2 linked regions of the Oryctolagus cuniculus genome follow. The protein of the gene in region 2 interacts with the protein of the main gene of each other region in a pairwise test. Links are inferred from orthologs where the notes say so. Each region holds a gene or a part of one and is shown on either strand. Other genes may lie near its edges.

Region 1 (4,104 bases), on a different chromosome or scaffold from region 2:
ATATAATGACTGGACACTGACCTTTGAGTTATTCTTGAAAGACTCTATCAGCAAAGACAGCTTCCTCTGTAACTCTTGCAAGTCCTTTGAGATACTCGGGGACTCTTCTTTCACCATCCTGAAGGTTACTTCAATCTTCTTGAGGATTAATTCTCCTGTCAGTAAATCAATGGAGTGCGCAGTCCAATCCCTCATGCCACTTCGTCTCTGTCACTGGAGAAAAACAAAAATGTTTCTTAAATCATTAAAGGTCTCCATCCAACTGGTTCCACAAGAACTCCTCACACACTGAGGGAGGGCATGCAGACAGTGGATAACTTGGCAATATTTATCCAAATTTCACATTGCACACACTTTAACCCAGCAACCGAAACCTAAATAATCAAACAAGTTTATAAAAATGTAGCCAAAGGACGTGTAGCACATCGCTGTTTATAATATATAATGACCGGCAGGACACTGGGAAGAAGCTAACTGCCCTTCAGGAGGAAACTGACTAGATAATGGTAAATTCAGTCACTAAAATGATGTTACTAATCAGTGACATTAAAAAGATGTTCAGGGGCCAGCATCGTGGCTCACTAGGTTAATCCTCCGCCTGTGGTGCCAGCATCCCATATGGGCACCAGGTTCTAGTCCCAGTTGCTCCTCTTCCAGTCCAGCTCTCTGCTGTGGCGTGGGAAGGCAATGGAGGATGGCCCAGGTGCTTGGGCCCCTGCAACCGCATGGGAGACCATGGCTTTGGATTGGCACATTTGGGGAGTGAACCAACAGAAGGAAGACCTTTCTCTCTGTCTGTCTCTCTCTCACTGTCTATGACTCTAACTTTCAAATTAAAAAATAAATAATATTTATTTTTTATTTAGATGTTCATGATACATTTTTTAAAAATACTCCAATTTGTTACAAATATGTCTTTTATGTATATATTGCAGAGTAAAAGATATTGGACATATAACTATTAACAGTATCATCACTGAGAGTCTTTTTTTTTAGCATGGCAAAACACTGAAAAAAAAAAAAAACAGAAAGCAAGCTGAGGACACTATTTCAAGGCACACTGACCTTAAAAAATAAAAATGCCTTTCTAGTGAGACAATGATGTGGCCAATCTCTTTTCTTTATTTACTACCCATATTGTACAAGTTGGTTCCCAATGCCCTAAACCAATCTGTTTACTTGTGGGTCTCTTCCCAGTTTTGAGAGCTGTGCCTTAGGGAGAAGACCTTGCCGCAGTACATCCTCTGACTAAGGAGCCTGGAATTTCTGGGACGCTCCCAACCTCACATCATTTTTATTTATTTTTAATAAGGGCAGTTGGCTAAATACTTTTTTGATCCTTGCTGAGCTTTTATACTCCCCCCAAAATGGCTTATTTTATGATCCCCCAAACAAGGTATCTTTTCCATTTCTCCCTTACCATTGACCCCCTGACCTGTAACACAAATGCCTAACGCATTCAGTCACAGTGGCCAAAATTAACTGAGAACCTCACATTTATTTACCATATTGAATATCCTGCATGCTAATTATGTGAGTTACAAAGCAGAAGTTTCCCAATAGCTACAGGGTCTTGTGGGCAAATGAAAGCGCATTTTCAGGGCTCCAGCTAGCGCTGTTCTGCCTGTGGACAGGGAGGATTAAAGTCCCTCCACCCCATCTTCCATCTCTGAAGCCGCAGCCGGCCCAGACCTTGAATTTGAGATGTTCCCAGCACTCGGTTCTCCTAATCTCATCTCCGCAGCGGGTAGAAACAAGCCCAATTCCCAGGCACATCTCCTTTGGCCTGGGAAACCCAAGCGCCAGACCGGTTTGGGAAGTCCGATGGGAGCTAGCGTGGGGGAGCACGCCACCGCCAAGCCATCAAGTGCATCGACCTGGCCAGCGAGTTCCTTACCCCTAGTCCCTGGCTCCTCGCAGGGGTCTCCGCGGGAACCAGGCAGCCTTCGCCGCACGGACGGTGCCACCTGGCGCAGCCACAGGTGCCCCGCCAACCCCCAAAGCACCTCGCGGCTCTCGCGCCCCCGCGGGCAAACGGCCACCCTCTAACGGTCCAGCAGGGAGGGGGGAAGAGCGGGTCGCATCTCTGGCTGGGGGAGGGCGCCTGGAGCCCACCCTAACCACCTCCTTTCCCACTGGGGCCCAGTCTTTCTAGTACTAGAAGCGGGGGGCATCCCAGCGAGGAGGAATGGGATGTGACCAAGCCACGCGCCGCGCCCGAGAGGTCACCGAGGCTGAGAAATGGGGACTCGAGGCGGGCTGGGGTGAGGGGTGCCGAGTAAAATCCACCCTTGCACTCGCAGCTCCTCTCTCTCGGCAGTGACTCGGTGGAGAGGACGGCACCCATTTTCAATACTCCTAGGCAGGAGGTTTGACTGCACGTCTTCCCAACCGGGTCTCCCGAAAGGAAGACGGTCTCCGAGGCAAGGTGGGGTTGGTCACCCTTTTACCAAACCTTGGCGTGCACTCCCAGGCGCGTCTGTGAACTCCCAGACAAGGAGACACCCCCTTATCAGTGACCCCGGAACCTGTGCACACTCTCGAGCCGCCGCCCCCGCGCTCTTCCACAAGTTCCCCGCGAGCCAGGGGGTCTCCGCGGCCGAAGCACCCTGGGCCGCGCGGCCCCGAGCGTGGCGCTCTCACCTGGTCCCGCGGCCGCGCTGCCGCCGCCGCGCCTGTGTGGGGAGAGCGGAGGGAGGCAGGAGGAGGAGGAGGAACCGGAGCCGCCTTCCCCGCCCCTGGGCGCGCGCGCCACCCCGAGGCTCCGCCCCCTGCCCGCGGCCGGAAGGTGGGCGAAGGCTCCGCCGCGGCGGCGGCGGCGGCGGCGGCGGCGGCCTCGCGGGTTCTGTGAGGCGCGCCGGGTCGCTGGGCCAGACTTGGGGTCCGCCCGGACAATCCCCGAGAGGTGTAGGGTTGAGGAAACAGAGGCTCGGAGAGTGTCCCTTCCGGCGGCCTGGGCTTGGAGTGAGAGTGCCCGGATCACCTCAGGGTGATGCTGAGGATGGGTTTTCGAAGGAACTTAGGGTTTCGCCTCCTAAATTCGCAGACTCGGCTCTTCTAGAAGCATCTGTGGCGCTGAAGACACAGGTGCAGGTGATGAGGTACCAGCTTGGCTGGAAGTCTTTAGTCGTTACCCTCAGGGTTAAAGGTTATGAGTCACAGAGCCTTAGAGATGGATTTGATTAGTTTTTTAAGTTGTTTGACAGGCAGAGTGACAGGGAGAGAACGACATAGACACATCTTCCAGCTGCTGGCTCACTCCCCAAATGCGGGCAACAGCATTAAGGCAGGCGCCAGGAAGTCCATCGCAGTCCTAAGTGCATGGGCCATTGTGGCCTGCCTTCCAGGCACGGTAGCAGGAATGCTGACTTGGCAGTGCGGAGTAGCCAGGGCTCTCTCCCAGGTGGGATGCAGGTGTCCCAAACAGCAACTTAAACCGCTGGGCCACAGCGCCCACTGCTGGCATCTCTCTTGTACTTATGGTAAAGTTTTGAGCCAGAGCTACAGCACAGATAAACCCAAATCCCTCAGTTCTAAGGATCCAAATACGAGCGAGCAGGAACTCAGGTTTCCTGGCCCAAATCCACAACCTATTAGAGCAGACTTTCTCAACAGCAGGGTTGTTGACATTTTGGGGTGGTAGTTCTGTTTCTGGACTGTCCTGTGTATTGTGGGATTTTAATAACAACCCTGGCCTCTACCCATTTCATACCAGTAACAAACCCCCTCCCAGAAGTGGTAACAGAATGTCCCCAAATATTGCCAAATGCACCCTTGGGAACACAGTTGGCCCCTGTTGAGAACCACTACCAAAGGGCATACTGGGAAAGACCAGAGACTGGAGGTTCAACAGCCTTGGACTGTGGTCCCAGGACTGACTCTTAATCTGTGACCTGGGCCGAGCTACCTCTCTGAGCCATGGCTTCTTCTGTAAAATGGGGCCAGAAAGGCTTCCATGGTGGTGCAGTGGGTTAAGCTGCCCCCTGCGACACCAGCATCCATATAAGCCCTGGTTCGAGTCCCAGCTGCTCCACTTCTGATCCAGCTCCCTGATAATGCACCTGAGGAAATAGTGGAAGATTGCCCAAGTACTTGGAATTCTGC
Region 2 (3,957 bases):
GCCCGTCTCTGCCCTGCCCTCGCCCAGCCACTGCAAAGCCCTAGGGAGCAGCCCCCAGAAGGGCCCCGCGGTGCTGGACGTGGTGACCGCCTGTCTGGCATGCACAGGGACTGTGTTGTGCCAGGTGGGTGCCCCATGGCCTGCAGCCTCCGTGGGAGGTCTGACAGCGGCCAGAGTGGGAAAGCAGGCCCGCCGGGGCTACTCACATCATCCACACGCCGGCCGCGATGTTCAGAGGGTGGATGGTGATACAGTTGAACAGACCAGAGATGGCGCACGCTGGGGAGCAAGACACAGAGGAGTCGGCAGGGCCCGGCACAGCGCCCAGGAGTCCGCACCGCGCCGACCGGCGCAGGAGAGGCTGCGGCTCACTCCACACTGCCCGGGCCCCGGCAGGACGATGGCCGGGCTGCAGCTAGGGCAGAGGGAGGCTGTGAGGGACGCCCGCCCTCCTCTCTCCACCACTGTCCCCCAAGGAGCTGGGCCTCTGTCCCCGGGGTGTGGACGCCCCTCTCAGCGGGGCTGGGCTTAAGGGGCGATGCGTCTCAGGGGCTCAGGCCGCGGCGCCACCTCAACCAGGCCTGGGGCACGTGGCACGGCTCACTCGAGGTCCTCCCATGCAGCCATGCGCCTCAGATTGTGGTCGGAGCGAGCGGTGCCCCCTTGGAGCCGGACAGGGGTCCCAGCTCTGAGTCCCACAGCAGCCGAGGGAGCTGGGCGCGCCGTCCCTCTTTCTAGGCCTGTTCCCTGCCCTGGGACACCGCCAGGGGGCAGGGGTGTCCTCTCCCACCCCAGCAGGGGCCTTCTCCAAGGTCCCGGGTGCACAACCTCGAAGCCCTCCTCCCCGCTGCACCTCTCCACCAGGCCCGCCACACCCCTCCCTCCTCCACCTGCAGGACCACCTGGCTTTGCTGCAAGGCAGTTCCAGGGAGCCGGCTGCTGGGCAGGACCCGAGCCGGGCGAGCCCAGGTCATGGGGCGGGGCAGTGGCCCTCGGAGGCAGCAATTAGCAAACAGCTCATTAAACTTGCAGAGGCTCCCCTGCACCTGATCCCTCCACCTGGGCCTGGAATTTGGCTGTTTTCCATCTTCCCGTGTAACCCTATACAGACAGCAGGTGCCGGAGGAGGACATGGGGGAACCGAGCCCGGGCTGCCGTGGGCCTGCCCTCACGGCGCCCAAGGCCTCCCTGGCATCCCGGGACAGCAAGGTTCCCAGGGCCACAGACACACGCGGGGGCACTGCCTGTCCCGGCCGAAGTCTCCAAGACGGCACGGCTCCGCCCGCTCGGTAGCTGTGCTGCGTCTCCCTGGCCAGGGCCTGCACGTCCCGCTGCGGTCAGCTCCAGCCCTGGCCCTCCGTCCTCCAGGGACGGCCAGGTGCCCGCACACACGCGCAGGATCCCGCCAGCATCTTCAGCAGCAGGGAGCTGTGGGCCAGGGCCTCCCGCGCTCCCGCCTCCCCTGTGACCGCCTGTCACTGACGTCACGTGCAGCCTGCTCTCTCCTCCCAAGCTGCTGCCTCCAGACCCTCCTACGGCCAGGGCGGACGCCCCTCCGGGTCCTCTTCGAGGCCTTCGCCCCAAAGGGCAGCACCACACCCCCAAGGGGCCCAGCCAGATGCACACCCTCGTGCGTCCCTGAGACACCCACGCTCTGCCATCCCACGGTGGGACACAGTTCTTGTGATTCATACACCGTCCCCCTAATCTGCAGGCGACACGGACAACTCAGGGAGATGCCACAGTGTTTCCCGGCTTCATCTGCAGCGCCCGGGCACGGCACCCACAGCCCAGGATGGGACTCCAGAGTCGGCAGGGCCACCGGCTGTGCCGGCCTTACGCCGGGACCTCTCCTCCTGCTCTCCACTGACCACCGGCACCTGCTCAGGAGCGCCCACCCCAGGCTGCCAGGGAGGCCACCGGCCCAACTGGAGAGGACGCACCAGGCCTGGCCGTGATGTCCAGGGCAGACAGGAAGAAGGGGGCGGTTGCACAGGCCACAGACACGGCTGCCTGCCTTCGCGGGCCAGCTCCTCCCAGGGCTCCACGTCCCTTCTGCTCCGCACGTGCCGCCTGCCTTGTGTGCCTTCCGGACTTGTGCTACAAGGGGCCGCCCGCCTGCCTGGGAGCTCAGGGCAGGGGTGTGTCCAGGGGGGTCCGGAAGGGCCAAGGAGAGGCAGCTGAAGGCTTCGGAGAGAAAGCTCTGGCATCGTTGAGGGCAGTGGGGCCCGGACCTCCCCATCAGTATACTTCCCGGACGGACGGTGGCTTCCTGCCCCGCCCCACCTACAACAGTCGGGTCCCAAGGCTGGGGCAGGGCTCTCTCCACACACACACCCCTTCCCAGGTGATGGTGTCCCCAGCATCATTGGGACAGGCCCGGCCACATGCCCAGCGCAGCGCTCACGGTGGGAGTTTGTGTTCCCTCTCCGGAATCGCCAGCCTGGTCCTGGGAACCAAGGAGCCCAGGCCCGAGGCCAGGAACCATGGCAACCAGAGGGCGCCGGCTCCCCGGCCCCCGCCCCCGCCCGGGCCGGCGCCCGAGGACCCCAGACCCCACGCGAGTCCCTTCCCGGCGGGGGCTACTCACAGACGGCCCCCAGCACCCCCGACAGGCGACACAGCCAGCGGTACCACCACGTCATGCCCTCCTCCTGCGCGGGCGGCGCCGAGCCGGCGGACACCGCCGCCGCCCCGCCCGAGCCGCTCATGGTGCCGCGGACCTGCGCAGCCCCCGACCCTCACAAAGGGCTCGGAGCCCGGCCGCTTCGGCCTGGCGCGCTGCCTTGTGGGAGAGGCGGCCGTATTAACATAGGGGGCGGGGCTCTCAGGCCGCCGCAGGTGCGCCCGCGAGGCGCCGATCAGCATGGAGGGCGGGGCTTGGCAGCCCCGGCAGGTGCGCCCGAGGGAGACCGGGCATAAGGGGCGGGGCTCGCAAGGCAGCGCCGGAGGGCATCTGGCGCTCCCTGGCACGGGGCGGGGCCTGGCGGCCCTGGCACCTGGGCGTCTGATCCTCCCACCCGGACTAGCATGGGGGTGGGGCTTCGGCACTGGCAGGTGCAGCAGGTGCACCTGGCCTCCAGGCCCAGTCCGGACTCCACACTCTTCTCCTGCCCTCCCTGGGTAGGCGAGTGGCTTGCTGGCTTCAGGATGGAGCCAGTCACAGCCAGGAAAACCCCACCTTGCCAAGGTTCGGGCAGGTAACGTACAGCAAACAGTCAGGCACCGTGTTTGGTCTGTTTTGTTTATTGGTTCCCAGGGGGCTGGCACGGCTTTTCCAAAGTGTGCTCGCCTTCCAGCCGACGCCTCCCAAGACCAGAAAGCTGTCGGAGAGCAAGGCCCGGACACCCACTCTGTAGAGGGCAGGTCAGAGGCCGACGTGGGGATGAGCGGGATGGGGAGGGGACAGCCAGGGCCGAGTGTCCAGGTCCCGCTGTCCCTCTTCCTCCCGCACCCTCCATCAGAAGGTCCAGTAGTGGCCTCGCAGGCTGGCGCCGGCCTCCAAAAAGCTCTGGCTGAACTCCACCTCGGCCTGGCTGCCCCTGGACTCCCAGTAGAGCACCTGCTGCCCACGGAAGGCTGTGGTGCTCCAGCTGTGGATGTCCCGGATCTGGGAGAAAGGGGCAGCCCAGGAGGAGGAGCTGGAGTGACGGCCAGCCAGCACACAGGGACGCATGCATGTGGCAGGTGGCAGGCACAGCGCTGAACCCCCATGGGGGCCCCATCGGGGCACTGTCATCCTCCCCAGAAACTGAGGCTCAGAGAAGTTACCCCATTTCCCCAGGATGCACAGCCAGCATCCCGGAGCTGGATCCCAGACAGATGTGTCCAGTTCCAGAGGCCAGACAGCCGCCTCCAGGGAGTGGGCACCTCGCCGGCCGAGCTCCAGCCTCCCAGAGCACACAAAGCCTCAACTTTCTGGCAGGCTGTACCCCCGGCTGACCTGCAGTCCACTGC

The links.
Region 1: the proteins of CACFD1 (region 2) and LDAF1 interact in binary tests that used the Homo sapiens proteins (3 or more experiments, as listed by UniProt). The two-hybrid records come from large-scale screens. The link is inferred for Oryctolagus cuniculus from reciprocal best matches to the Homo sapiens genes CACFD1 and LDAF1.

What each region holds. Positions count from the first base shown.
Region 1 is NC_091450.1:18,055,753-18,059,856, forward strand, and holds the start of LDAF1 (lipid droplet assembly factor 1), read right to left. Parts: upstream 2,801-4,104; 5' UTR 2,644-2,800; intron 2,429-2,643; exon of another isoform or gene 2,289-2,428; intron 2,037-2,288; exon of another isoform or gene 1,898-2,036; intron 214-1,897; 5' UTR 196-213; coding exon 22-195; intron 1-21. UniProt on the Homo sapiens protein: Plays an important role in the formation of lipid droplets (LD) which are storage organelles at the center of lipid and energy homeostasis. In association with BSCL2/seipin, defines the sites of LD formation in the endoplasmic reticulum.
Region 2 is NC_091432.1:235,451,740-235,455,696, reverse strand, and holds the start of CACFD1 (calcium channel flower homolog), read right to left. Parts: upstream 2,801-3,957; 5' UTR 2,712-2,800; coding exon 2,591-2,711; intron 280-2,590; coding exon 207-279; intron 1-206. Other genes in the region: ADAMTS13 (A disintegrin and metalloproteinase with thrombospondin motifs 13), read right to left, coding at 3,461-3,610. UniProt on the Homo sapiens protein: Transmembrane protein which mediates synaptic endocytosis and fitness-based cell culling.